Ovis aries: one gene and its partners. Each later gene encodes a partner of the first gene's protein in a complex. Links are inferred from orthologs where the notes say so. Each region holds a gene or a part of one and is shown in the gene's direction. Other genes may lie near its edges. The genes, in order: TXNL4A, SNRPD2, PQBP1, LSM5, SART1, USP39 and LSM7.

Region 1 (4,270 bases):
AGATAGCATATTGAAAAGCAGAGACATTACTTTGCCAACTAAGGTCTGTCTAGTCAAGGCTATGGTTTTCCAGTGGTCATGTATGGATGAGAGAGTTGGACTGTGAAGAAAGCTGAGCGCCAAAGAATTGATGCTTTTGAACTGTGGTGTTGGAGAAGACTCTTGAGATCCCTTGGACTGCAAGGAGATCCAACCAGTCCATTCTAAAGGAGATCAGCCCTGGGTGTTCTTTGGAAGGACTGATGGTAAAGCTGAAACTCCAGTACTTTGGCCACCTCGTGCGAAGAGTTGACTCATTGGAAAAGACTCTGATGCTGGGAAGCACTGGGAGCAGGAGGAAAAGGGGACGACAGAGGATGAGATGGCTGGATGGCATCACGGACTCAATGGACGTGAGTCTGAGTGAACTCCAGGAGATGGTGATGGACAGGGAGGCCTGGCGTGCTGTGATTCATGGGGTCGCAAAGAGTCGGACACAACTGAGCGACTGAACTGATACTATTTAAATTTTACGATAACAATATGACCAACCTAGACAGCATTTTAAAAAGCAGAGACATTACTTTGCCAACAAAGGTCAGTCTAGTCAAGGCTACAGTTTTTCCATTAGTCATGTATGGATGTGAGAGTTGGGCTATAAAGAAAGCTGAGCACTGAAGAATTGATGCTTTTGAACTGTGGTGTTGGAGAAGACTCTTGAGAGTCCCTTGGACTGCAAGGAGTTCCAACCAGTCCATCCTAAAGGAGATCAGTCCTGGGTGTTCATTGGAAGGACTGATGCTGAAGCTGAAACTCCAATACTTTGGCCAACTGATGCGGAGAGCTGACTCATTTGAAAAGACCCTGATGCTGGGAAAGACTGAGGGCAGGAGAAGGGGAAGACAGAGGATGAGATGGTTGGATGGCATCACCGACACAATAGTCATGGGTTTGGGTGGACTCCGGGAGTTGGTGATGGACAGGGAGGCCTGGCATGCTGCGGTTCATGGGGTCGCAGAGTCGGACACGACTGAGCAACTGAACAACAAAAAATGTTTAGAAATACTAATTTCAATAACTTATTTGGGGGGCATTTGCGTCTTACCAGTACTCTTCTGTTAATGAACCGCTTTTCACAAGTAAAGCAACTGTGCTTGCGTCTGGAAAGCAGGGCCTCCAAAATAATTAGGGGGCTCTGTGTGGGAGTGAACGGCGACGAGCCCTTCTTCAGAGAGGTTATCCTCTTCGTTCACTCCCTGGTCCCAGTCGCACCGAGGAAACTTGAACGCCGACTCACTGGAGACACAGTAGGTCTGAAGCAGCCGCCGCCTCTAAGACGCTCATGACACTAAACCCACCTTCAGCCCCAGTACCTGAGCGGAGTCCACGCCCCTGCCCGGCCCGGGCGCGCGCACGCACTGGCCGGCGCACACGCTCTGCGGGCGCGCGCACGCACTCGCCGGCGCTCACGCTCTGTGGGCGGGCGGGCTCACTCGCCGGCGCTCTCGGCCTGTGGGAGCGCTCCGCGCCCGGAAGGACTGCTGAGCGGGAGGGTCCGGTGTGGGCAGAGGTGGGTGCGCGGCTGGAGACGGTGGGAAGGGGGCGGCGAGTGATGCGCGGGTGTGCGATTCCAGGGGTCCCCTCGCCTTGGTTTCTTGGCCGGGGGACAGTGGCGTTCCTGTGGCGGGATCGGGGTCGGAACTTGGTAGACGCGGGCCTGGCCCTGCGGGCGGCGCATCGACTGCCCCTCGGGGTGAGCCCCCGTGAGCCGGGGGCTCCGTGGGCTCCGTGGTGAGGCTCCGTGGGCTCCGTGGTGAGGCTCCGTGGGGTGGGGCCCCCGTGGTGAGGCTCCGTGGGCTCCGTGGTGAGGCTCCGTGGGCTCCGTGGTGAGGCTCCGTGGGCTCGGTGGTGAGGCTCCGTGGGCTCCGTGGTGAGGCTCCGTGGGGTGGGGCCCCCGTGGTGAGGCTCCGTGGGGCGGGGGGTCCCGTGGGTGTGCCATGGGGGGGCTGGGAGGAACTGGCCGGTGATTTCCCTCCACTCCCCCGCAGACCCATTGGCTCAAGATGTCGTACATGCTCCCGCACCTGCACAATGGCTGGCAGGTTGATCAGGCCATCCTTTCGGAAGAAGACCGCGTGGTCGTCATTCGATTTGGGCACGACTGGGACCCTACCTGCATGAAGATGGATGAGGTTCTGTACAGCATTGCTGAAAAGGTAAAGCAGCCACACCTCCCGTCACGTCCTGCCGCCAGGTTTGGTGTTTGCATCCTGTCGGATTGCTGTTGTTTTGCCGGTAAGAATTAAAAGTACAGCCAGTTCACCGGTTAAAGAGAAGCAGTAGGATTCACAGAAGTACAGACATACCTTGGAGTATGAGGATGGGCTCCCTGAAATTGGTCAGAATAGCTTATATCCTTACTGGCAGAAGTTTCCATAGATTCTCAAATTTTTAAGAGGTTCATGATGTCTCTCCTTGAAGAAGTGATTCTTATTAATTTATAGCGGTTTTAACTCATAGGTGTTTTCAAAAATTTACATCTATAGTGCCAGGAGCAAAACACGTTTGCAGCATTTGGCTGAGTGTAGGAGCTTACTTTGAATGGCTTAGTTTAAAAAACTTGACTTTTTTTTGGTACCGTGTTTGTTTGTTGTATGTATTGAGCAGAACATCTATGGTAACAACATAGTAAATTCCCTTCTTTTTCTTTGAGTCCCTTCTTTACCCCAGGGTGCTCTTTGTAAGTGACTTGATTTATAGCTTAGAGTGATACCAGTGTAGGAAACACTGGGAAAAGGTAGAACTGTAATGTTAGAACTAGTTTTCCTAATCCTTAAATTTAGTACAGGGGGTTGTCTGTGGCCCTTTGCTGACAATAAAGAGCAATTGTAGGGTACTGTTGAGTAACTAGGGCTTAATTCTCTTTCTGTAATTGTCTCATGGGTATTTTAAGGTAAATTTGATTTAGATTTTTGCAACTGTAGTAATAGGGCAAGAGGCAAAAATATTAGGGTATTAATAAAAAGTTTAATATTCAATGTTAATTTGAGAGGTTATTCATTTTATTAAAGAGTATAAAAATAAGGGAAACATTGAAGCCATCATTTATTTCACAGGAGTAAGATATGCTAGTATGGGCTGGATTAAAATAACTCCTTTGAGTAAAGAGTAACAGGTGTAAGGATATAGTTTGTATTTAGGAATTGAAAAGTAGTCTGACCTGCCATCAGTAATTTTCACTGTCTCCTCTTTGGTAGGACAGGCAGAGTGAGGTAGGGGTGATGGCACTCTGAACATTAGGGACTATCTTTCTGTGTCTGTCACCGAAAGTGCATCTCAGAGAGTCTGATCCTGGAGATCTGAGATGAGATCCAGAAGCTCCCCCAGGAATTCTGAATCCCTTCAAGGAGATCCAAGTCAGAGCAGGAGTCTGTGGTGATAACCTTACCCTCCTCTTCCTCTTGGACAGAAAGGTGTTGAGGGAGCTTGAAGAGATGCCTGGGGAACTCAGGAGAGCAGGGTTCTTCCAATTGGGTCCTCCCTGTCAGGTCCGAGGTCAGGAGTGAGGTGGTGCCCAGAAGTCATTTCCCCATGACTTGAGCCACAGTGGTTAAGGGCAGAGACTGCAGAAGTCAGTGATGATGGATGAAGACCCTGTTTCAGTAAGTGAATCACTGCTGTGTGGACGCTGATGTAACTTAGGTGGGTGTTCTGGGTTCTGCCTTGCAGGTGACAAGTAAGCATCAGGGGATGTCCAGACCCGGTGGCCCTCAGCACGAGGCTAGAATGGCAGAGGCGTGAGGGTTGTTTGCTGTTCATATCTGAGCAAAACTCAGCAAGATACTCTTAGCTAGGAGACAGATTTTGTGTCAGTGTAAGTTTTTAGGGACTTTTACCAGAATTGTTCTTTTCTAATCCCTATGTAGCGGTCAGAGACCAGATTGCTATACTGCTAGCAGGTGGCTCTTTTTGGAATGGAACCTGTTGGTAAGAACAGTTTAATTGGGCTCACTTGGAGTATTTTTCTCTAGTCTTTTAAGTGATTCTTTTTCTTTTATCCCGATTTCTATTTTAATAAACTTCTAATACTATGTAATAGTATAGTCTTTAAAAATGCAAACTTGAAATGCGTTACACAAATGTTAATGTTCTATTTTCTGCTTAGTGTAAGGGCAGAATATGAGTTTATAATTTTGGAAGCCCTTTTTGGGGACGTTCAACAGGAATTTTTGAAATCTAAGGTTTTAGTATAAAGAACAATTTAACTGTCTATCTCCCTCTGCAGAAATGG
Region 2 (3,983 bases), on another chromosome or scaffold:
TCTTACGGGGTAACCGCTATTACAAAACAAGCCCGAAGCCTCATTGCATTGGAAAGGGGTATGCGCTCTAAGAACGGAGACGGCGGCACCTGCAGCTAGGGCCATAAGGTAAAGACAAAGCCAGGTTAACCCAACCTAGGGTCTTCCCCATGAGACCGTGGGGAAGGGGAGGCAAGGAGTAAGGGCTTCCGCAGTGCCCATGTCCCCGCCCGTCCTCACCCGCAGTTCCCGGCCCAGCGGCAGCTCTTCAGTCTGGCTATGCCAGCTGCTCCAAATGGTATAGAACACCAAGGCTACTGTCAGAGCCAGCAGCAGCTGGGGCAACAGCTGTGCCCGCGGTATCAGGCGCCGCTTGGGCGGTGAGGGTCGCTCCAAAAGGCTGCGTTCCCCGACCGGGAGTCGGGGCCGCCCGCGGCCCCCGGAACGCATGGCAGCTTGGCCCTGAAACCGGTCGGAGACGGCGGATAGAGTTAAGGCCGAGCCAAGTCCCGCCCCATGAAATAAGCCAGACCAATGAACAACAAGAGCGGCTGCACCATCCGCCCCCCCCACGAGCAGTAAAGCAAATGGGACTTTCGGCCTGAGGACGCGGCTCCTTGTCTTCAGGGAGCTTTGGGGGTTGGTTCCCCCGGGTTGCACAACCCAAAAGGGAGAGCGTAAGAAGTAGGCGCCGCCTCAGCGCAGGAGGGGAAGCCAATGAGAAGCGTTTGATCACCGAAAACACTAGCCTTACTGGGCGCAAATCCACGCCGCTCCCGGATGGACCCTCTCCCCGGTCCAGAAAAACCAATATACACGTAAATCAACAGTTTCCGAAGGAAAGGGGAGGTGCCCATCCCTGAAGCGAGGAGGGGATTGGCTTCGCCAAGGCCGCGCCCCCAAAGGCAGAGCGGGCGGGCATTTGGAAATGGCTAGTATTCCCCTCTTTCAACCTATGCGGTTCTGCAACAAAATGGTTTTAATCAGTCCCGCCTTCTTTTCCTCTCCATGGTCGTGAATATCTGCCCAGCACTGTCTTGAATGGTGGCCTGGAGCTACTTACTAAGTAAGGCTTCTACTCGGCAGCCTCCGCCGAGGGCGGAGATCGCTATAGCAACGGGCCACGCCCCACTCGCTGGTTGGGTATGCGCAGGCGCGCGCGGAAGTGGGCCGTAGGAAGAGGAAGTCCCGCCTCTGGCTCTCTGTTCGGGAGGCACACCACGGAGGAGACGGTAGTGGCTTGAAAACGCGGTCACCATCATCATCATGTGAGGCCGGGCTGGGTTTGGGTGGCGGCAGTGGGATTGAGGGTGTAAGTTTGGCCACTTACCGGTTGAAGTGGGTAGGCAGAAGTGGGCGCGGAAGCAAACATTTGGGGGTAAAGTGGCGTATCTTTCTACTGATGAGTTGCGAGGGGACGTGGGGCCTTTGAAGGATCCTGACTTCGGGAGCGGGGACAGCTTTATCAGATAACAGGCTGGGCTTTCCCAAATAAGCAATCTTATTGAAGTGAAGTTTAAGAGGAAGCGTTTTTACGAATTAAAAACCTGGGAGATGAGGAGTACGGACTTGTAGGAAAAGCGGTCTTAAGGTAAGAGGCGTAGCTGGAGACAATTGGCTTTTCGATCACATCCGCCATTGGTATGGATAACGAGTTATGGGGATGATTTTACTTATGTAGTCACTCAACAGTTATTTATTGAGTTGTTTGTGTATTAGGCTGCTTTAGACGCATAGCTTATATCACTGAATTACTCCACTCTCCCCAAGGGAAAAAAAATCCTCTTCTACATCTTACGGGATGGGAAGAGGCAGGCAGGAAACGTGCTGGTAATAAATCCGTAAATTCTAGAATGTGTTAGGGAATAGGGTTTTGAATAAAGAAATAACAGAGCAGGGTAAAACAGCGTGGAATGTCTCTTGTGAGAGACAGAACGCATGAAGGAGGCAACACTTGAGCAAAAACCTGAAGAAAGTGAGAAAGCAAACTGCAAAGGTACCTGGGGACGTACCTAGGCAGAGGGAAAAGTGAATAGAGGGGCCCAAGAAGGTTTGCCTGATAGCTTCAAGAACCACTGAAGAGGCCATTGTGCCTGGAACAGAGTGAGGGTAAAAGCTGGGCTTTACTGTTTACACTGAGAGGGTACTCAAGAGTGAGATGATTCTTGACACCACCCTTGAGACTGCTCTGTGGAGGGCGAACTGTTGGGGAGCGTGGGTGGAGGCAAGGAGACCTAGGAAAGATGATGGAGGTTTAAGCCAAGGTAAGAAATTCAGATTCTGATAGGTTTTAGTGGCAGATGGCAGGATTTGCTGACAGATTGAATGTAGGATGTGAGAGAAGAAAGAGTCAAGTTGCTCAAAGAACCAGAGGGATGGAGTCACCACTGACAGAGATGAGGAAGGCTGTGGATAGTATTAAGTTGGGGTTATGGGGGGTCTGGAGTTCAGTCTAGGTCATGCGAGGATTGGAAATATCCATTAGGCATCCAAGTGGTGATAGCAAGAGAGAGGACTGAGTACGAAGAGAGGGATATGTGTCGGGGAGACACCAAGGGAGAGGCCATGAGCACCCAGGCTATGGGCCTGCTCACCTCTGGGTTCCATACTTGTCTTTTCAGGAGTCTCCTCAACAAGCCCAAGAGTGAGATGACCCCAGAGGAGCTGCAGAAGCGGGAGGAGGAGGAGTTTAACACGGGGCCGCTCTCCGTGCTCACGCAGTCAGTCAAAAACAACACTCAAGTGCTCATCAACTGCCGTAACAACAAGAAGCTCCTGGGCCGCGTGAAGGCCTTCGACAGGTGAGCACCAGGGTCTGGGGAGGTATGCTGTCCGGGCCTCAGTTTCCTTACCTGTGAAATATGCGTCATAATAATATCCCTCAGAACAGTAATGAGGCTTCAGTAATACTATGTATGAAAAGCACTTGGCTCAGTACCTAACACATGATAAATGCTCAGTAAACACATGCAGCCTTTAGTTAGCATTTGGGAAGTGCTTTCCTCACCGTAGATTACTATATAGCAAGATACAGAGCTTTCCCAATTTTTTTCTTTTCTTTCTTTCACTCAGTCATAGTTCCCTGTATCCTCCTATTCCTTTGTGTGTGTGCATGAGGGCTAAGTCACTTTGGTTGTGTCTGAATCTGTGCAGCCCTATGGACTGTGGCCCACCAGGCTTCTCTGTCTATGGGATTCTCCAGACAAGACTACTGGAATGGGTTGCCATGCTCTCCTCCAGGGGATCCTCCCAACCCAGGGATTGAATTTGCATCTCTTATGTCTCCTGCATTAGCAGGCAAGTTCTTTACCGCTAGAGCCACCTGGGAAGCCCCCCATCCCTTTACCTTGCGTTAGTTTTTCTTCATAGCACTTACTACCACCTGACAGTATATTACAGGTGTGTTTGTTTACCTGCTTCGTGTTCTCCCTTCACTAGCCTGCAGAGCCCATGAAGACAGGGCTCTTACCTGGTTTTTTTTTCATTGCTCTAATCATTGTAAACGTTTGTTGACCGAGCTATTCCACACTGTCATCACACATGCCCATAAGAAAAATAGTGTGTTGATTCACTTAATTTTCACAACAGCCATAGGAGGCAGGCACCATGAATGTCTCCATTTTAGAGACGAGGAAACTGAGGCGCAGAAGGTGAAGTCCTTTGCCCGAGCCTCGGAGCCCTGGCTCTCCCCCTTCCCAGAGGCAGTGCCGCCCAGAGGAAGGGTCAGGACACACCCCTCACTCAGTCCTGCTGCCTCCCCGTCCCCACCAGGCACTGCAACATGGTGCTGGAGAATGTGAAGGAAATGTGGACGGAGGTCCCCAAGAGCGGCAAGGGCAAGAAGAAGTCCAAGCCAGTCAACAAGGACCGCTACATCTCCAAGATGTTCCTGCGCGGGGACTCTGTCATCGTGGTCCTGAGGAACCCGCTCATCGCTGGCAAGTAGGGCCTCCTCCCTGCTGTCAGAACTTTCCCCCTGGTTTTGCGAAGACCTGCCCTCTGTA
Region 3 (4,244 bases), on another chromosome or scaffold:
CACAATTAGGTTTTGGTTTTATGACCCTTTTGACAGCACAGCATTTCTGAGGAGCTCCAGCAGGGTGAGGGTCAGAGGTCATGTTTGCAGTTCCCCCAAACTCCCAGATCCTGGAGCTAGGCCTGCCACACAGTAGGTAAGCAGACACCAGAATGAATAAGTGCACGTGACTGGCAGTTCCAAGCAGTTTCAGAACAGTATCCCATGTGGTCAGGGCAGGACCTCAGCAGCACCCAGGGAAGGCTAGGACTCACGACAGGGGCATTACGGAAGCCCTTAATGGCCTGGAAGACTCCACCGCCGATAACACCCATAGTGAAGGCTCCACCGCAATCATCCACAATTCGCCATGGGCTGCAAGCGGGAAGGGGAGGATGAGGTTAATGTGAGCGCTCCCTCATGCCAAGTCACAAGATCTCTTTCCAACTGGGAGCAATACGTCACCCAAATGAGAACTAGCACTTCAGATAATACTGGGATTATTTCTCCCCTCATTTAAGCAAAAAATAATGTGAAGAGGGGAAAACATCAGTCTTGGCCCTGTCCGCCCCTCCCCTTCACAGCCAACCAGGGAATCAACCAACTGGTTGACTACTGTCAAAGATTAAATGAATTAATGAGAGGGCATTAATTAAAGAATTGGCACGTTTGAATTACGCTACAGGTGTTGCAGGCACTGTTCCTTAAGCAGAATGGGGTAGCACCCCTTTTTCCGATAATGAGCACGTCCAACAAAGCCACGTCCTCTTCCCTTTTCACCCTCGCACAACTGGGGAAAATCAAGCACATAGAGTGCGGAGGACCCATCACCCCTCCATGACCACAATCATGGTCAGGCTCATCCAGGCCCCGCCAGCATTAACCAAAGCGACCTGGGAAAAACCATGCGTTTTTCCAGGGGATACCCGCTCAACACCGCACCACCCCCTGGCTGGAATGGATTCGACCAGCGTGTCTTTAACAGAGGGGCTGGGAGGTACGGAATCAAGGAAAACGTGGAGTGGTCCGTCCTGCACCAAACCTTCTTCTGCAGGCACACAATTGTGGCCCCTTTTAACGGAGCCCGAGTAAGAGAAACCAAGTGGAGAGGAGCAGAAGACAACAAAAATCTAAATGTGTTCCGAGTCTGGGACGTGGCGCTGTGTGGCCCGTGCCTCCCCCACCCGCCTCCCACCGCTGGCCGTGGCGCCGCAGCAACAGTCCCGACACCTATGCCCCTCGCTGTACCAAGGTTCCCGAGCATACTCCTCCATGGCGCCGGCGTCCGGCCGCGCAGTATCGCTAAACCCTGGCCGGGCCACACCTCCACTGGAAACGTATACAAGCGCCCGAGCTTTCCACCTATCCCAGGGCAACGGTTCTGTTGTTTCGCCAGACTTCAGATCAAAGCGCATTCTCATTGGCTAGGTAGGTTTGCGTCATCTTTTCACTGCGTGAGCGTCGTGCAGTTACGTCTAAGCTCGGGGAGAGAGAAACTCATTCTGTGCTTTGGGAGAAGAGAGTCGTGTGGTCCTGGCGCTCATAGAGACGACGAGAGAGAGGTGGCCAGTTGGAAAGTCGTCCACTACTTGCGTGACTGTATTGGTAATTTGGGGTGGGTGCATTTTTTGGAGCTGGAGGAGGTGTTACACTGTGCTCCCCCATCCCAACGCTTTGGTTCCTCCCACCCAGCAGTCTTTGGGGGACGTTGGGTGAAACCATTTTGGGTAGTGGGGGAGCCGCGCATGGCCCCTTGGGCTGGGCGGAGCCTGGGCCTAGGACGGGAACCCGGTGCTGCAGCCACTGGCCTGGGAGAGCGGAGTTGGTGAGAGTGTTGGTGATATTGCTGTTTACAACCCCTTCCACCTTTCAGCGGGTAGGGTCTATTTCCCTCCTAGTGTAGATGGGGGTCCAGATTGAGTACATGCTGCGGGGAGGCCCTTGGTTACTCTTGTAACCAGATTCAGTCCTCATCTGAGCTGTTTTTCAGGCTGTCTGTCCTTCCGTAGGCCTGTCTGCCATCCGCTATGCCGCTGCCTGTTGCGTTGCAGACCCGCTTGGCCAAGAGAGGCATCCTCAAACATTTGGAGCCTGGTGAGAGAACTAAGAGAAGAGAGGCCTACCATGTGCCCGACTTGACAGGCACTTTGTTGCGGATACTGCCGCTTGATATCTAGCATGGGCCTATTGTGCACCAAGCAGTGGGGTGGCAGGCATTTCCTTGTTAACAATACGTGTTGAAAGTGAAAGAAAGTGAAAGTGAAGTCGCTCGGTCGTGTCCGACTCTTTGCGACCCCGTGGACTGTAGCCTACGAGGCTCCTCCGTCCATGGAATTCTCCAGGCAAGAATACTTGGACGGGAGTGGGTTGCCATTTCCTTCTCCAGGGGAATCTTCCCTACCCAGGGATCGAACCCGGGTCTCCCGCATTGCGGGCAGATGCTTTAACCTCTGAGCTACCAGGGATTCCCAACAATACGTGTTACTGACCCCTATTCCTGTCCTATGAGGAGGAGGGGAGGTGGGGTATGGAATAGACATTTCGTCCTTAACACTGACAGTTGATGTGTATTTTGGGGTCTTCTGTAGCCAAAGTTTAACCCATCAGTTAATTCCTGGAAGTATAATAAGGATAGTAATAGTAAGCTGACACCTATGGCAGCCTCCTGTCGGCCAAGTATAGTCGCAGGGTGCTGATACTTTGTTCTGTAACATACTAGTAGATAACATTATTTCAGACCTGCTGTGGAACTAGGCACTGTGTGAGTTGTCCATACCTTATTGTTCACCATGTCAATAGCTGACATGTATTTTGAGTCTTCTTAAGTGCTTATCATACACTGTGGTTAACAGTATATAAAGTAATGATAGGATCTATCATTTAGGCCTACTGTGCTGCTGTTGCTAGTATTTATACCTTATTTATCAATAATAGTAAAAGCTGGCATCTATTTTGGGCTAAGGTGTGCCAGGTACTAGAAAACTCATCTTATTTTCACTTTATTGATAAGTGACACCTATTACAAGCCTGTTGTATGCCAAAGATCTTTGGTTATTAATAATATTGATAATGATACTGATATGGTATTTATTTTAAGGCTGTTTGCTACCAGGCCCTGTACTAACTGTATGTATCTTACTAACAATATTAATGATTGTAGCTGACATCTATTTGGGGCCTATTGTGTGACAGGCACTATGCTGTTGCTGACATATACATTTAATTGTTAACTATATCCATGGGTGAAATCTGTGATAGGACTACTGAGGTCCAAGTACTCATACACCTTTCTTTATTCTGTTGATAGTAACTGACAACTATTGCAGGCATCAGGAACTGAACAGATTCAGAGAAGTGTTTGGATAAATCCCTTGCTGTCCAAACTTGCTAGTCAATATATAGGAGTCAGAAACCCCATATTTGCCAGCCGTGGAAGCTGAATAGATTTGGACATATTTTTAGGTAAACCCCTTGCTGTTGAAACTCATTTTATTCAAATTTGCATAATACAGTGTCACATACTATTTGAACTCAGAAGCTGAATAAATATGGATACTTTTTAAAAAAAATGTATCCCTGTCTAAAGTATGAAACCAGATAAGTTTGGGTAGTAGTACCCGTAAACAGATTTGAGTAAATTTTTTTGGTAAATCCTGATATTCAGATACTTGGATTTGGAACATGAGCAGTATTTGCTCTGGCATGTGAGACCTGGCATGCACACACACACACACAGTCCACGTGAATGTGAGTGTGTCTCTCCAGGCCCTGATTGCAGGATGGGAATCTCCCTGGTTCTTACTGCTGTCCTCTTCCCTTCCTTGTCCTGCCAGAACCAGAGGAAGAGATCATTGCTGAGGACTATGATGACGATCCTGTGGACTATGAGGCTACCCGGTTGGAGGGCCTGCCACCAAGCTGGTACAAGGTGTTTGACCCTTCCTGGTGAGCCTGACGACATGCGGGTGGGGAGGGAGAGCTAACTTCTGACTTCACCCTTCCTGTGAAGGGTTCAGTTCAGTTCAGTCACTCAGTCATGTCCGACTCTTTGTGACCCCATGAATCACAGCACACCAGGCCTCCCTGTCCATCACCAACTCCCAGAGTTCACTCAAACTGATGTCCATCGAGTCAGTGATGCCATCCAGCCATCTCATCCTCTGTCGTCCCCTTCTCCTCCTGCCCCCAATCCCTCCCAGCATCAGAGTCCTTTTCAATGAGTCAACACTTTGCATGAGATGGCCAAAGTATTAGGGTTTCAGCTT
Region 4 (4,272 bases), on another chromosome or scaffold:
AATAAAAACACCTCTTCCTGCAATCCCCATTAACTACTGTGTAAACAATTGTATCTCCGTTTTCAGAGTATAAGACCTCCTTTATTCTTCATCAATAGTGCTGAATGTTAATTTGGTTTCTGTAATGGAAAGCAAGATATTGACTTAAAGCTTATTTTCTTGAATTTTAAACTCTATCAGGTAGCAACAATACCTTGAATTTGGTTCCTATTCACATTATGGTATGGTGAAAATGAAACAAGAATAGATATAGGAAAACAAATTTTTTTGGCATTACTTTGTCTTGCCAAAGAATGATGTGACGATTGACTAAGATCCCTGAAGTTAAAAGAGCACTTTTTGCTTTACATATTAAATTCCACGTGCTTTGTACATAATGCTTGCTAGTTGTCTTTCTCCCCCATTTATCCTTTAGCTCCTATAAGGGCAGAAGACGTTGTAGTTCTGTTCTTTACGCTGGTTATACTGAGCAAAATGCCAATGTTCAACTAAAGTATTTGTTCGATGAATGAATGATTGGTGCTTTGCAGCCATTGTGTGAATGAATGATGTCCTTCCTGGCCTTTCCTGCTTAAACTCTTTAGCTTTAAGCTCCTCAGATATAAACATAAAATAGACCAACGCAAAAAATTTGTTCGCTTTTTCTTTTCAAAACAGATGCGTAAAAGCAGCAAGGCTTCCTAAATGTGATGTTATTAACATAGAATGACATCTGGTGGTTGCCTGTTGGACTGTGGAAGAAATAGTGTATACAAAATGTATAGCAGACTCCTAGATATTACAAGATTAAAAAGGACAGTTCAGTTCTGTCACTGTTTTGTCCGACTCTTTGCGACCCCATGGACTGCAGCACACCAGGCTTCCCTGTCCATCACCAACTCCTGATAGTAGAAGATAGAAAACAATAGAAATGGAAAAAATTGAAAAAGTAGAATAGAAAAATAGAAAAAGAAAACGATAGTAGAAAATAGAAAACATACTTAAAATTTCCCCCTCGCCCAACAAACTTTATTAAAAATGCTAGTTGTGGGTTTTCAAATCATCAAACTTTTAAAAGAAGCGGTAGATTTTTTTTTTTAACGAAAATTGCAACACAATGAATCGGTGGCGGGAAAATCAAATTTATTGATTCTGGTCGAAGAAAGATCCTGGGTTGATATGAGACACACCTCGATAAGGGGAAATAAGACAGCACAAAGGCTTCCGTTTCGCAGGCTTCCGGATTAGAGAAATAACTTATTTATAAGACCGGAGATCTCTAAAGTCTCTTGGAAGTTTGGAGAGGCGAGTTATCTGTGGAGAACCTAGAACGCTCAGTGAACAGAAACACTTTCTAGAATCTCCCTGCAGGATAAAGAAGTGGCTGGATCTCCTCAATCGCACTCTCGGCCTCAGATTGGTCGAGCCTGCCTGGGCCGGAAAAAAGCGGAAGCGCGCTCTTTCAAACTCGCCGTTCCGACGTCGATAGAGGCAGGCCACTTCCGGCGTAGCCATGGCGGCTAACGCTACCACTAACCCGTCGCAGCTGCTTCCTCTAGGTAATCTTTGTCCTGTTGGGGAGCCGGGGCGGGGAGTTGAAAGTTAGGGTTGGGGCCGAAGAGCAAGGCAGTCCCTGACCGAGTGTTAGAAAAACGTAGCTTTCTCTGCAGCTCTCCTTTAGGCTCCAAGTCTCGGCGGCCTGAGGCCGCACAAGTCTCTCTGGCGTGGGGGAGTCTTCTTGAGGCAGGGGTTTTTGACTCCCCAAACCTTCACCGGAAAGGTTCAGTCTTGGTGAATGTGTCGTTGACCTTCTTTGTTGGGTGCTCGCCTTTATAATAGTAAGAGGCCCATTCCGCAACCGGGCTTTTAAACTACCCGGGTTATATCCTGTCTGGCTGGTTTCTGAGTGAGGCACTTGGGTCTGGAATGAGCCTTTAAAGAGGCCTCTGAAAACTAGCTCTTGTTACTCATTTATTCAGCAAGCAGTTACCGCGCCATCTGTGCACTAGACACTGTGATTGGGCACTGTTCAACAAATTTAAATCACGGCCATTACCTTCAGATAGCATACAAACCAGTGTAGGAAACAGGATACAGGGCAGACATAGACTTAATGACAAGGAGGAATCTCTGGTGAAGACAGTTCTGCCTTTTTTTTCCCCTTAATATTTTATATTTGAAGGGTTATCGGGTTAGTGGATGTGGCAGTTATTGTAAAGGTTTTTTTCCATCCTGGAACAAATTCTTCTGAATGACCAGTACATTTCAGGCATTGTCCACTGGGGATACACTGATGAGTAAAAACCACCTCTCAGCTCTCTTTCAGCTTAGAGTCAAGAGGGGCGTTCATATGTTAATCAGATAACTAAAATAGTATTAAACTACAACCATGATAAATTGCTACAAAGGAGGGTTAAATGAATAACAGGGAGGGAAAACTGTCCTTTTAATAGAATGACTGAACAGAGATATGTAACATAAGGTCTAAAGTTTTGGAGTGAATACTTTTCCTGGCTTATCTTTTCACCATATGCATGTAACAAGTGTCAGTAGGCATTCAAATATTTGTTAATGTTATGAATGGGCAAACTAATCTTCTCTCTCCCGCCCTTATCTGCAGAGCTTGTGGACAAGTGTATAGGATCAAGAATTCACATTGTGATGAAGAGTGATAAAGAGATTGTTGGCACACTTCTGGGATTTGATGACTTTGTCAGTATCCTTTTAAAAGGTGGTTGTATGGATTTTTCTTCAGATTTTTAAAAAAGAACTATAGACTATCAGTACTTACCGATTATTATAATAAAGTTTAATTTATTTTTTTGGAAATTGTGATAGTGTTTTAAGGGATTGTGGTACTGAAAGATGAAGTTCCTACCAATTGCACGCAGCTTGCATTTGAGCCATTGTATTCAATGTTATAATTAAAACTGAACAAAGAAATAAGCCAGAGTAAATTTAATTTGGTATGTTTATTTTCTTAACACCAAATTTCAGATATGGTATTGGAAGATGTCACTGAATTGTGAGTAGTGTTAAAAATTAAAGAATGGGTAGGGGGAATCTCTGTTTGATTTAAGGCAGTTTTAGTGCTGTTGAGTCAGTAAAAGGATGTAGGAGAGCACACTGCCTGTTTGAATTACTCTAAAGAGAGAAAGTTTACCTACTGATGTTAGTAAAATTGGATTGGAGGATTATTACCATAATTTAATTGTCACTAATTGCTAGGAAGTTAGTGGAGACAAAGGTTTAAGGTAAAAGATACTAAAAGCAGCCAGGGATCTTAGCGCTCAGATCAAATAAAGGAACTTATAATAAAAACATTTAATGTTTTAAATTAGTTACTCTAAAACTTATGTGTATATATATATATATAAACATTTTATTTCATATTTGATCTCCTTGGTAAGTTTCAGTTTTTTAGATGAAGATCTGCACTAGTGGATGTGGGTCTTAGGCCAGTCAGTCCACTCTCTTGCCTTTGGAGAATTGACATCACCATGGGGATAACCTTGTCTCTGGAAAGTGTACAGTTCATTTATATATAGTAACTAACCTTTTGGTGGATCAGAATGTTGGCTTTGATTATCACTCTTTATCCTGACTTTTTGAAAATCTTTTTGTTTAGTGAAATCACACCAGAAGGAAGAAGAATTACTAAATTAGATCAAATTTTGCTAAATGGAAATAATATAACAATGGTAAGACAGTGAAGGTCTTTTATTTAGATGTTAAGCCATCTTTGTGGGGCAGGGATTACAGAACTGACTTGATTGACTCAATGTTCTTGGCCCAGTGGTGCTTAGGGTGGGAAGGGAATGCTCTGCTGATCAGGATTCTGTGGCCAAACTGTTGAAGATGACATTAGGCCTAAGATTAGTTTGTTTATACCTTTTATCTTATGTATTTTTAAAATATTTATTTATTTTTTTATTTGGCTGCATTGGGTCTTAGTTGCATCACAGAAGATCTTTACTTAGTTGCAACATGTGGGATCCAGTTCCTTGACCAAGGATCAAACCTGGGCCCGCTGCATTGGGAGCATGGAGTCTTAATCATTGCACCACCAGTGAAGTCCCTGCTTGTGCTTTTTAATCATTTATTTTACCAAGAATTAACTGTTGAAACATTAAATCACTAAGTATTAATTGATACTGTTGGAATTGTAAACAGAGGTGACATGGGGAAAATGGGAATATGAGGGAGAGGCAAAGGCTGATCAATGACCAGTCAGTGAGCTCTCAGTAGGGGTTTTTAGATCATGTGGTACTAAGTTTTAAACTTTTTCCTCCT
Region 5 (3,933 bases), on another chromosome or scaffold:
CCCCAAATCCAGACCAAGAGTTGAGTCCCTGAGATAAAAATTAAATGCTTTGTGGAAAACACGGTGTGGGATTTCTGGCGGTGGTGGGAAGTGGCTGTGGGTTGGGAGCAGGCCGTGGCAGGTGGGTATGCAGCACGCTTGGCTTGTGCTCACATCCCCCAGGAACCCTGGCTGTTGCGACGGCCCCCGCCCAGCACACACGGCTGTGTCTCTGCCCAGAGGAGCGAGTGGGGCATCTCCCAAGAGCAACAGCTGCAACTCCTACCAATGCTGGGTCCTGGAAATTCAAGAGTGAACAGGACAGAATGCCTTCCGCCTTTGGGAACGCCCAGTCCTGTGGGGGAGGGGGCGGGCCTTTAAAAGGGCGCATAATCACACCCTAACAGATGGGCTGGCAGATCGAGCAACTGGCAAGTGGGGGTGTCAGGAGGAATTGTGTGAACTGAGCTTTTAACTACAAGTTAACAGTCTCCTCAAAGGAAAAGAAAAAGAAAAGCTCACACACACACGGATGTGCCAAATTTTGCATTCGATTTCAGGGGGTTTACAGATACACAGAAGCTCAACTCGACCTCCGGGGCAGTCGCAGAGCTCAGGTTAAAAACCCAATCCAAGGAGCGTGGCAAGGCAGCGTTGGCAGACAATACTAGATGTAGGGGTTGGAAGGAAGCTGGACTGTGGAGCTGGGGGCCTCGGGAGAACATGCTACGTCGTTTAACACCCGATGGAGCCACGACCCCAGGCAGTACACTAGGAGGACGCCACTGGAGAGGTGGACCCTGCCCAGAGACAGTCCGTGAGCCAGTGAACATCCGTAATTGAGGGTGTGAAAGCGGAGGGAAGCCGGGAAGGGGCTTCCAGCTCTGGCGATCCTGGCTTGGATGGTCCCTAGGTCCCATTCTGGGATACTGTCTTCCCCAGACCCAGTGGCGAACCTTGAGGCGCGCATGCGCAGTCGGCCCCCCGGCTCAAAGACCGCTACCCCGGCTAGGCTGGCTGCGACTGCGCAGTCGGGTTCAGATCCCGGCCTTCCCATGAGCCTTTGGGGCAGGCTCCGAGGCAAACGACGGAAGCAGCCGCTCTTGGTTTCCGGCAACAGGACACCGGCTGTCGGGCGACCCGGAAGTGTTCCCATTTTGCGTCGTCGGGGCTCGGCGGCGGCCGGGCTCGGGGTTAGACAGACCACCATGGGGTCGTCAAAGAAGCACCGCGGGGAAAAGGAGGCGGCAGGAACTACAGCAGCGGCCAGCACCGGGGGCGCTACCGAACAGCCGCCTAGGCACCGGGAGCACAAAAAACACAAGCATCGGAGCAGCGGCGGCGGCAGTAGCGGCGGCGAACGACGGAAGCGAAGCCGAGAGCGTGGGAGCGAGCGCGGGAGCGGGCGGCGCGGGGCCGAAAATGAGGCTCGCAGCAGCACGCACGGGCGGGAGCGCAGCCAGACAGAGCCCTCCGAGCGGCGCGTGAAACGGGAGAAGCGGGATGATGGCTACGAGGCCGGTGAGGGGCCTGTGCAGGGGGCGGGGCGACCGGAGGTGCCTCGGGTATGTGGGCTCTGGGTATGGAGGCCGAGCGCACCAGGCCGAGGCATCCTCTGGCTTTTTCGTCAGCACTTTCTAAAGGGTCTTCCTATGGCTATTTGGGACTGAAGGTTGTCTTTCTTTGTTAAACTCTCTGAGGGTAGAGATTTTCTTTGTTTTCCTCACGACCCCTCCCTGAATGTGTTGAATGAATGAAGCGATGGTAGCATGTGCAGAGGCAAGAACAAACATGTTGTCAAAGTTGTGTAGAGTTCATAGGAGAGACAGCAGTCTGTAAGAGAGACACGGATCTGAACACTAAGGGCCATATAGGCCCTGTTAAGAAAGTGAAACTTGTTTTGAGAGGAAGCCATGAATTTGAACTGACGAGTGAGTTGATCACATTCATATTTTGCAAAGATCTGGGAGAAGGGCAGTAGAGACTGGAGGTGAGATGAAGGCTGATGGTGGCCTGCACCGAGGCATTAGCCATGGGATGGAGAGACGTGGACAGATTGGAGAGGTGTTTTGGAGGAGGAGGTGATGGAGCTTAGCATTTGGATGAGGGCTGGAAAGAGAAGAAGGAATTGAGGGTGTGCCTTGAATTTTGACTTGAGCAACTAGTTGAGTGGTAGTGATCTCTGCTGATGTTATCCTGGTGGTTCAGTGGTAAAGAATCTGCCTGCAGTGCAGAAGACAAAAGAGACAAGGGTTCTATCCCTGGGTTGAGACGATCCCCTGGAGGAGGGCATGGCATCCCACTCCAGTATTCTTGCCTGGAGAATCCCATAGACAGAGGAGCCTGGAGAGCTATAGTCCACAGGGTGGCAAAGATTTGGACACAACTGAAGTGACCGAAGCACACATGCACAGTGCTGTCGACTAATTTCAGGAGTTTGGAAGAGAAACAGATTTTTGGAGGGAGACAACCGAATTCCGTTTTGGAGAGTGTTGAATTTTATGTGCATGGAGAAACTCAGGGCTTGGGCTGGATAGAGCAGTTTGGGAATCATGAGTGTTTAGGTGGCATATGAAGTCCACTGAGAGACTAGGAGTAGGAAGCCTACTGGTAGGAGAACCTGATAAATGCTAGTGTCTTAGTATTACGCTGAGCAGGAGGCTACGAAAAAAGGAGGTAGGCTGTCCCCCAAAGCAGGAAAACCATAGAATCTCGTGTCAGGGGATCTGTGGGAGTGATCATCTGTGTCACACACTGCTGGAGACCAGATGAAAACCAGAGCTGAAAAGAATCCTTGGGGTTTTGAAATAAGGAGGCTGGTGATCTTGGAGAGAGCCTGGAGTGGTTGGGATTCAGAGTTCAAGTGGGATAAGGTACAGAGGTAGGTTGTGAGGCGAACATGCTGGAACGATGAGCTGTGGTGGCGCCTGGTAGGGGCAGCTCCGTCTGAGTCCGAATCTGACTTCTGCATGTGGTGTTCAGTGAAGTCACTTGCTGTTTGTGAGGTGAGTAGAGGATGTCCTAAATGCTCCTGTATCTCAGTGATCTCAGCAACATTACAGAAGAGGCTCCAATAAGTATATTTCTTCACTGCATGAATTACACAGAGGGCATAGTTATGCTGCCAAGATGGTCCCTACCCTGTGAGGAGAAGCAGGTCCAGAAATGACTGTGGCAGTGTTGTGCAGAGGAGAGCAGGTCATGCTGATCAGTAATGGAGCAGGACTCCAGGGAGGAAGTGGGGTCTGATAGGATTTTGTTAACAGCCTGAGGCCAGAGAAGGCAGTGTAGGTTGAAAGCACAGGATACGCAAAAGTGGAGAGGTGGCGAAGTGAAGGATGTAGAAAGCTGGACCCTTTGGATCAGGAAAGGAAGGTGTGGGGAGAAGCAGCGTTCTCAGAGCCTGGGACTCGGATGGAAGGAGCTCCTGGTTGGGGGGAAGCAGGCCGAGGTGCTGACCTCGTCTTCGGCCCTGCACCTGGAGCCAGGGCTGCGGCTCCTGGGCCCAGTGCTCTGCCCCTGAGCCTTGCTGCTTCTTGTTCCAGCTGCCAGCTCCAAAACTAGCTCAGGCGATGCCTCGTCACTCAGCATTGAGGAGACCAAGTAAGTCCTGTCTCCTTTTCATTTCTGTGTTTTCTTGTGGGACAAGCAGCTTCTGGGGTAGCTGTCTGGGGAGGCTTTCGCGTAGTACATGTTCTGATTGAAGTTGGAAGTGTCATGTAAATCATCCTAGCCAACCAGCTGAGTTCCCGAAGTGGACTCTGAGGCCCAGGAGAGCATGGCCTTGCCCTGGCTAGGGGGCAGGCCAGGCCTTCCGGCTGATTGGGAGGCCGGTGCTCTTCCCACTGCTGGGTCAGGCCCTAGGTTTGAGACCCTTCGGACCACTCAGTCCCTTCCTGTTTTCTCCCCCTCTTTGTCCAGAAATGCATTTGGTGCCCCCATTTCTTGGACAGC
Region 6 (3,224 bases), on another chromosome or scaffold:
TGAATATCTTCCAATGCACAGGCAGCCCCCACAGGCAGCAAAGAGTTTTCTGGTCCAAAATGTTGGAGTTAAGACTTGATTAGATTATCTGGAGGTGAGACCCAGGCATCTTGATAGTTTTAAAATTCTCAGATTTCCAGTATGTAGCCAGATTGAGAAGCACTGTCCTAGACTAGCACCTGCCACCAAAAGTGCCTTGGATTCACAGCATTGACATCATATGAGAACTTGTTAGAAATCGTAGAATCTCAGACCCCTCACATACCTCCTGAATCACAGTCTACTGATTAACAAGACCCTCTGAAGGGTATGAAATTAAAGTTTACAAAGCACTGGTAGAGAGGTTCCCTTTCAGCTAAAAAAAATTTTGTGAATTTGCTGAAAATGGGGGAAACGTGCTTAGGATGTATTTGGTATCATACAGATTACTGGCACAAATTGTTCTAACTTGATGAGTCTTCTGAGAATCTGGGTTTAATGATAACCAGCTTCTATCTGTCAAGCACTTGGCCATGTGCTAGATAGTACGCCACATACTTCATGTATGTTCATCTTGTTTATATCCCTAAACACACTTCCAAGACAGGTGTTAATACCATCTTTTTACAAGTGAGGAACCTAGCTTAGAGTTGGAATAACTGATCTGAAGTTAGAAGAGTTGACATTGGAACCTGGATACTAGGTTTCACTGTATTCTTATTAACCAGTCCTCGCACCAGGAATAGGGATTTTCATTATGGGATCCTGAGCTTTTGTTGTGTATCCTATTTGAGCTACTGGAATATCCAGAATAACCGGAATATATTTGTCTTTGGCATTTCTTGAAAGTTTGGATGGATGAGGCAGATGAGCTTCCAGAAGTATCTCTGCCATAATCCAGGCATCTCAGGTGAGGAGTAGGGGCTTCCTCTTCTTTCTCTGTGTTATCCTCCTAGTCTCTTCCTAAAAGACGAACAGTGTTTGAGACTCCACTGTGCTTTAAGGAGTCCTCAGCAGGACTTGTTTGTCAAGATCAACACCCTAAAAGCTCTTGACATTGAATGATGCCCAGCAGAGGCCTTATACTTTCTTTCTTAGAACTCTTGCTGGGTGATGGTCTAGTGACTGTTCTGACTTTTCTAGCTTTTGGCTGCATCTCTTTACCTCTAAAACTCTATTGGTTTCCGGGAGCAAACTGACCTAGCCCTTCATACTCCTTGCAGGGGACAGGCAAATGGTATGAATTACAGGACCTCCAGGTGACCGACATCCTTCCCCAGATGATCACACTGTCGGAGGCTTACATTCAGGTGGGTTGGCTTCACTCGATGAGCGTGGAGGTGATGGGGTGTGGGGGCTGGTGAGAGAAGTGTTGAGGGTGAAGGCAGGGCGTGGGACTGAGTTAGCTTGGGTGCCTTTTGACATGTAGTGGGGAGTGAGGCGGGGCCAGGAGTGATCTTCAGTGAAGAGGAGGACAGGAAAGCATGGACGAGTTATGAGTGAGCAAGGTGGTTCTCTCTGTGTGTGGTCAGCCAGGTCAGTTTTTCAAATATGTGGTCTGATTTCAAGGAGGAAGAGCTCAGAATCATCTGGAGTCATCTCTGAAGCTCTCCCCAGTTCCCTAGGCAAAGTCAGCACTCTTTGTGACCCCACAGCACTGTCCCATGTCTGTGGAACAGCAGCTACATGTTTTAACTGTCCTCTCCACTGTGTTGGGAGTTCATGGAACTGAGGGCCTCTATCTTCTCTTTCTTCTTTTTTAAAAAATTTTTACTTTATGGCCACACCGTGCAGCATATGGGATCTTATTTCCCTAACTAGGCATCGAACCCATGCCCTCTGCAGTGGAAGTACAGAGTCTTAACCACTGGACCTGCAAGGAAGTCCCCCTGTCTTCTCTTTCTAACGGTCCTAGTCCCTGCAGAGAAGGAAGACTGAGGCTAAGAGAAGGCCACAGCTTTATAAAAAAAGGAGAGAGATACTGCTTGTTCCAAGGAGAACTCTTTGTCTGAAGTTGCAGGCCTGACTGTTGGTCCTTTTTCAGAAAAGGAGTTTGGAATGGGAAGAGAAGGATGGATAGAAGAGTGAAAATTAAATGAAAGGGAATTTTTTGAAAGACTATGAGTTAGTTTTAGGGGACTTAGCAAATACACAGTTGGGATGATAGTTTGCTCATTTCCTAGCACAGATTTAGGTGCATGATAAATATTTGTGGATGGAACACAGGCTCCTAAGTATCCATTGTATTCATTTCTTACAGATTTGGAAGAGGCGAGATAATGATGAAACCAACCAGCAGGGGGCATGAAGGAGGTGTTTAGAACTTTGCTCCCAGGGGCTTTGGCTGACGTCGTTCTGAGCACAGGTGGATGGCACAAGCCCCTGAGCCAGCCCTGTGTTCTGGTTCTCACCAGAGCATCAGTGGTCCATCTGCCTCGGATGGCTCCGTGCTGTCACTCAGCTGGTCTTTGATCATTTGCAGTAGATTGGTGCCCCTTTCTTCTCCCTGGCTAGCTCCCTTCTAGCAGGCCAGAACTCTTTTACAGATGTATGTAATTTATTTCCGAATAGCCAGGAATACTAAAGGACTAGATGGGTTTCTTTGAAGCATCAAAGCCTCAGGATTATGGGAATTAGAGCTTGAAGCCAGTAACACCCTTCTTCCATCATAGGTAATTTTCCTGTGGCTCTCTTCATTTCTTGATATGTGTTTTGGGATGGATTAAATATTTTCCTGTTTTTAAACCAGCCTCTTGTTTCATATCATTCCCTTGGGCTTCTGCCTATGGGGGGATTAAAAAGAGTCCTCACAAACTGTCTCCCCTATGATCTTTCTTTTTTTTTTTTTTTATTCCTGCCTTTTATTTTATTTTTTTTTTTTATTTTTATTTTTTTTAAATTTTAAAATCTTTAATTCTTACATGCATTCCCAAACATGGACCCCCCTCCCACCTCCCCTCCCCATAACATCTTTCTGGGTCATCCCCATGCACCAGCCCCAAGCATGCTGCATCCTGCGTCAGACATAGACTGGCGATTCAATTCACATGATAGTATACATGTTAGAATGTCATTCTCCCAAATCATCCCACCCTCTCCCTCTCCCTCTGAGTCCAAAAGTCCGTTATACACATCTGTGTCTCTTTCCCTGTCTTGCATACAGGGTCGTCATTGCCATCTTCCTAAATTCCATATATATGTGTTAGTATACTGTATTGGTGTTTTTCTTTCTGGCTTACTTCACT
Region 7 (2,159 bases), on another chromosome or scaffold:
GGAATCCTGAAAGGGTTCGACCCGCTGCTCAACCTCGTGCTGGACGGCACCATCGAGTACATGCGAGGTGAGTGCAGCTGCAGGGCTCGGAAGCATCCTTCCGAGCAGTAAGGCCTTCTTTACTGTTCCTAGGCCGCCGCCCATATGCTGAGCCACCGTGAATGTGGCGCCTAGTGGGTCAGACTGCTGACAAGTGTGTTTGCTTTGCCACTGTCCTGGTGGGGCTCAGTACACTGTCACCTCAGGACTTCAAGGGTAGAGTGTTCTCCGGATTCACTCGTCACCGACCCTCAGCACTTGCTGGAGTTGAAGTCTGCCTGGTGGGGCTAGAAAGGTGCTGCACCTGCCACAATAAAGCTGGCTTCCAGGGGCCTCATCCTGCCCCCTCTCTCCTGCTGTCTCTATCTGTCTACTCCCTGCTGCTGACAAAGGGTCCCCTCCCCTTCCTTTCCTGTCCCCGTCTCCACAAGTCCCCAGACCCACCAGCTCAGCCTGAGTGCTGCACGACGGAGCCCCCAGGTTCAGGAGAGAAGGGGGTCTCACTCCTCCAGGGACTGTCGATGTTGAAGTACACATTACTCTGGTGCAGAGTAAATGCGGCCACACACAAGTGTCAGAAGCCACCAGGCAGAGGCCCTCTTTGTGGGAGGAGCAACCCTGTAGGGCCTTTTGCCTGCCCTTGTTTTCTCTCTTCCCTCGGGGTTTACCCAGAGTCCTGCTGCTGGGGTCCTGGCCCAGCCTCCTCAGGCAGATGACATTCTGAAAAAGGACAGCCTCACCCCCGTGGGGCTGCTGGGAGAACCACATGAGCTGGTGTGTGCCATGCACTTACATGGGGTCCTGGCTTGCTGGTCCAGCGACTTTTTGCCCTCTCCTCACCCAAGAACAGCCCCAGGCCCAGAGCCAGCCAGACCCATCCCGGCAGCTCCAGGAGGGAATGGGCAGGCTCGGACAACTGTCGTCCTGCAGGGCCTGGGAGTGGGGAGTGGCACCCCAACTCAGCCTCTCCCGTCACGCAGTAATCTCTGAGAGTAAGCTCGCCTCCGTGCGCTGTCACTTCCCTCCACTGGGAACAGCCCGCTGGTGTGAGGGTGAATGGTGACCCTCTAGGAACTCCCAGATCCTGCAGATGGGTTTTTCTTCTCCCACCACCCCTCTGAGCACTCGGTCCATCTCCCCAGGGCTGTGTTCTCATTGTGGAAGGAGGGCAGGCTGCACAGGGCTGTTTCAGAGCTTTTCCTGAGCCTCTCCATCCATCTCCAGAGAAGCTGCCAATGGGCTGGGGGAAGCGGAGGTGGGGGGTGGGAGCTTGGCCTGCCTTCCCTCCCCCCAGCCCCCACACCCCACTTCTTCCCACCCAGGCACATCTCTGGGCACCTTCCCACACTGCCTCATTGCCGCCCCTCTTCTCCCACAGACCCCGACGATCAGTACAAGCTCACAGAGGACACGCGGCAGCTGGGCCTGGTGGTGTGCAGGGGCACTTCGGTGGTGCTCATCTGCCCGCAGGATGGCATGGAGGCCATCCCCAACCCCTTCATCCAGCAGCAGGATGCCTAGCAGCCAGGCCACTGCTCCCCTGACTTGGCCACCCGTCCGAATGGAACTCTTTTTTGTATAACTTACATTTTGTTTTCTTAATAAAATTGCAAACCTCAAGTGTCCAGGAGCCCTGGAATCTTCCTTTCAGCTTTGGTGTTCTGGCAAAACCCAGACCTGGGGATTTGGTTCATCTGGCAGAGCTTGAGCGCTGGCCGGGGACTTGGTGGTGACTAAGCATGCATAGTGCAGGCGGGGGAATGGGTTTTGCCTCTGCAGAGACCCCCCCAGGGATCACCGCCTCTGTGCACACCCCAGCCAGCCTTCTCAGCGGCAGGTCCTATCCTTTCAGTGCCTTTATGCTCTGGCCCGAGGGGTCCTGCAGAGCCGGGTCCACTCTGTCATGTCCCCACAAAGCACAGCCATGACCCCACAAAGAACAGACTAGATGGAGCCTTGCTGTCCACCTGGCCCACGACCCCAGAGGTGATCTAAACCTCTTCCCCGCTCATCTCAGAGGACAAGCCCACCCCTGCCCCTCAGCCGGCGACCCCAGGCCATCATCATGAACGTCCCCAGTCCCTGTCCTCAGGAGCAGGGCTTTCTCCTGGCCTTGTTCC

What was found.
Region 2: TXNL4A (region 1) and SNRPD2 share a complex: the UniProt entries of both Homo sapiens proteins name them as parts of the U4/U6-U5 tri-snRNP complex. The link is inferred for Ovis aries from reciprocal best matches to the Homo sapiens genes TXNL4A and SNRPD2.
Region 3: the proteins of TXNL4A (region 1) and PQBP1 are in contact, whole or in part, in a crystal structure (PDB 4BWQ), measured with the Homo sapiens proteins. The link is inferred for Ovis aries from reciprocal best matches to the Homo sapiens genes TXNL4A and PQBP1. Residues at the interface, in NP_006692.1 of Homo sapiens: Gly11, Trp12, Val14, Asp15, Ile18, Asp68, Phe69, Met72, Tyr73, Glu74, Met82, Phe84, Asn87, His89, Met91, Gly97, Asn98, Asn99, Asn100, Lys101, Leu129; in NP_001027553.1 of Homo sapiens: Gln241, Gln242, Arg243, Pro244, Tyr245, Pro246, Ser247, Pro248, Gly249, Val251, Leu252, Ala254, Asn255.
Region 4: TXNL4A (region 1) and LSM5 share a complex: the UniProt entries of both Homo sapiens proteins name them as parts of the precatalytic spliceosome. The link is inferred for Ovis aries from reciprocal best matches to the Homo sapiens genes TXNL4A and LSM5.
Region 5: TXNL4A (region 1) and SART1 share a complex: the UniProt entries of both Homo sapiens proteins name them as parts of the U4/U6-U5 tri-snRNP complex. The link is inferred for Ovis aries from reciprocal best matches to the Homo sapiens genes TXNL4A and SART1.
Region 6: TXNL4A (region 1) and USP39 share a complex: the UniProt entries of both Homo sapiens proteins name them as parts of the U4/U6-U5 tri-snRNP complex. The link is inferred for Ovis aries from reciprocal best matches to the Homo sapiens genes TXNL4A and USP39.
Region 7: TXNL4A (region 1) and LSM7 share a complex: the UniProt entries of both Homo sapiens proteins name them as parts of the precatalytic spliceosome. The link is inferred for Ovis aries from reciprocal best matches to the Homo sapiens genes TXNL4A and LSM7.

What each region holds. Positions count from the first base shown.
Region 1 is NC_056076.1:701,172-705,441, forward strand, and holds the start of TXNL4A (thioredoxin-like protein 4A), read left to right. Parts: upstream 1-1,470; 5' UTR 1,471-1,549; intron 1,550-2,027; 5' UTR 2,028-2,042; coding exon 2,043-2,195; coding exon of another isoform or gene 2,196-2,274; intron 2,275-3,905; exon of another isoform or gene 3,906-3,966; intron 3,967-4,264; coding exon of another isoform or gene 4,265-4,270. UniProt on the Homo sapiens protein: Plays a role in pre-mRNA splicing as component of the U5 snRNP and U4/U6-U5 tri-snRNP complexes that are involved in spliceosome assembly, and as component of the precatalytic spliceosome (spliceosome B complex).
Region 2 is NC_056067.1:53,040,971-53,044,953, reverse strand, and holds the start of SNRPD2 (small nuclear ribonucleoprotein Sm D2), read left to right. Parts: upstream 1-1,183; 5' UTR 1,184-1,245; coding exon 1,246-1,247; intron 1,248-2,600; coding exon 2,601-2,780; intron 2,781-3,750; coding exon 3,751-3,925; 3' UTR 3,926-3,983. Other genes in the region: QPCTL (glutaminyl-peptide cyclotransferase-like protein), read right to left, coding at 220-429. UniProt on the Homo sapiens protein: Plays a role in pre-mRNA splicing as a core component of the spliceosomal U1, U2, U4 and U5 small nuclear ribonucleoproteins (snRNPs), the building blocks of the spliceosome.
Region 3 is NC_056080.1:56,175,740-56,179,983, reverse strand, and holds the start of PQBP1 (polyglutamine-binding protein 1), read left to right. Parts: upstream 1-1,444; 5' UTR 1,445-1,594; intron 1,595-1,756; exon of another isoform or gene 1,757-1,855; intron 1,856-1,969; exon of another isoform or gene 1,970-1,988; 5' UTR 1,989-2,006; coding exon 2,007-2,073; intron 2,074-3,450; exon of another isoform or gene 3,451-3,812; coding exon 3,813-3,924; exon of another isoform or gene 3,925-4,244. Other genes in the region: TIMM17B (mitochondrial import inner membrane translocase subunit Tim17-B), read right to left, coding at 255-354, 1,228-1,253. UniProt on the Homo sapiens protein: Intrinsically disordered protein that acts as a scaffold, and which is involved in different processes, such as pre-mRNA splicing, transcription regulation, innate immunity and neuron development.
Region 4 is NC_056057.1:65,578,937-65,583,208, forward strand, and holds the start of LSM5 (U6 snRNA-associated Sm-like protein LSm5), read left to right. Parts: upstream 1-1,472; 5' UTR 1,473-1,492; coding exon 1,493-1,538; intron 1,539-2,599; coding exon 2,600-2,695; intron 2,696-2,976; coding exon 2,977-3,004; intron 3,005-3,607; coding exon 3,608-3,680; intron 3,681-4,272. UniProt on the Homo sapiens protein: Plays a role in pre-mRNA splicing as component of the U4/U6-U5 tri-snRNP complex that is involved in spliceosome assembly, and as component of the precatalytic spliceosome (spliceosome B complex).
Region 5 is NC_056074.1:40,495,673-40,499,605, forward strand, and holds the start of SART1 (U4/U6.U5 tri-snRNP-associated protein 1), read left to right. Parts: upstream 1-1,133; 5' UTR 1,134-1,187; coding exon 1,188-1,500; intron 1,501-3,524; coding exon 3,525-3,582; intron 3,583-3,933. Other genes in the region: TSGA10IP (testis-specific protein 10-interacting protein), read left to right, coding at 163-295. UniProt on the Homo sapiens protein: Plays a role in mRNA splicing as a component of the U4/U6-U5 tri-snRNP, one of the building blocks of the spliceosome. May also bind to DNA.
Region 6 is NC_056056.1:57,493,290-57,496,513, forward strand, and holds the end of USP39 (ubiquitin carboxyl-terminal hydrolase 39), read left to right. Parts: intron 1-1,202; coding exon 1,203-1,289; intron 1,290-2,239; coding exon 2,240-2,287; 3' UTR 2,288-2,724; downstream 2,725-3,224.
Region 7 is NC_056058.1:19,036,616-19,038,774, forward strand, and holds the end of LSM7 (U6 snRNA-associated Sm-like protein LSm7), read left to right. Parts: coding exon 1-67; intron 68-1,417; coding exon 1,418-1,560; 3' UTR 1,561-1,659; downstream 1,660-2,159. UniProt on the Homo sapiens protein: Plays a role in pre-mRNA splicing as component of the U4/U6-U5 tri-snRNP complex that is involved in spliceosome assembly, and as component of the precatalytic spliceosome (spliceosome B complex).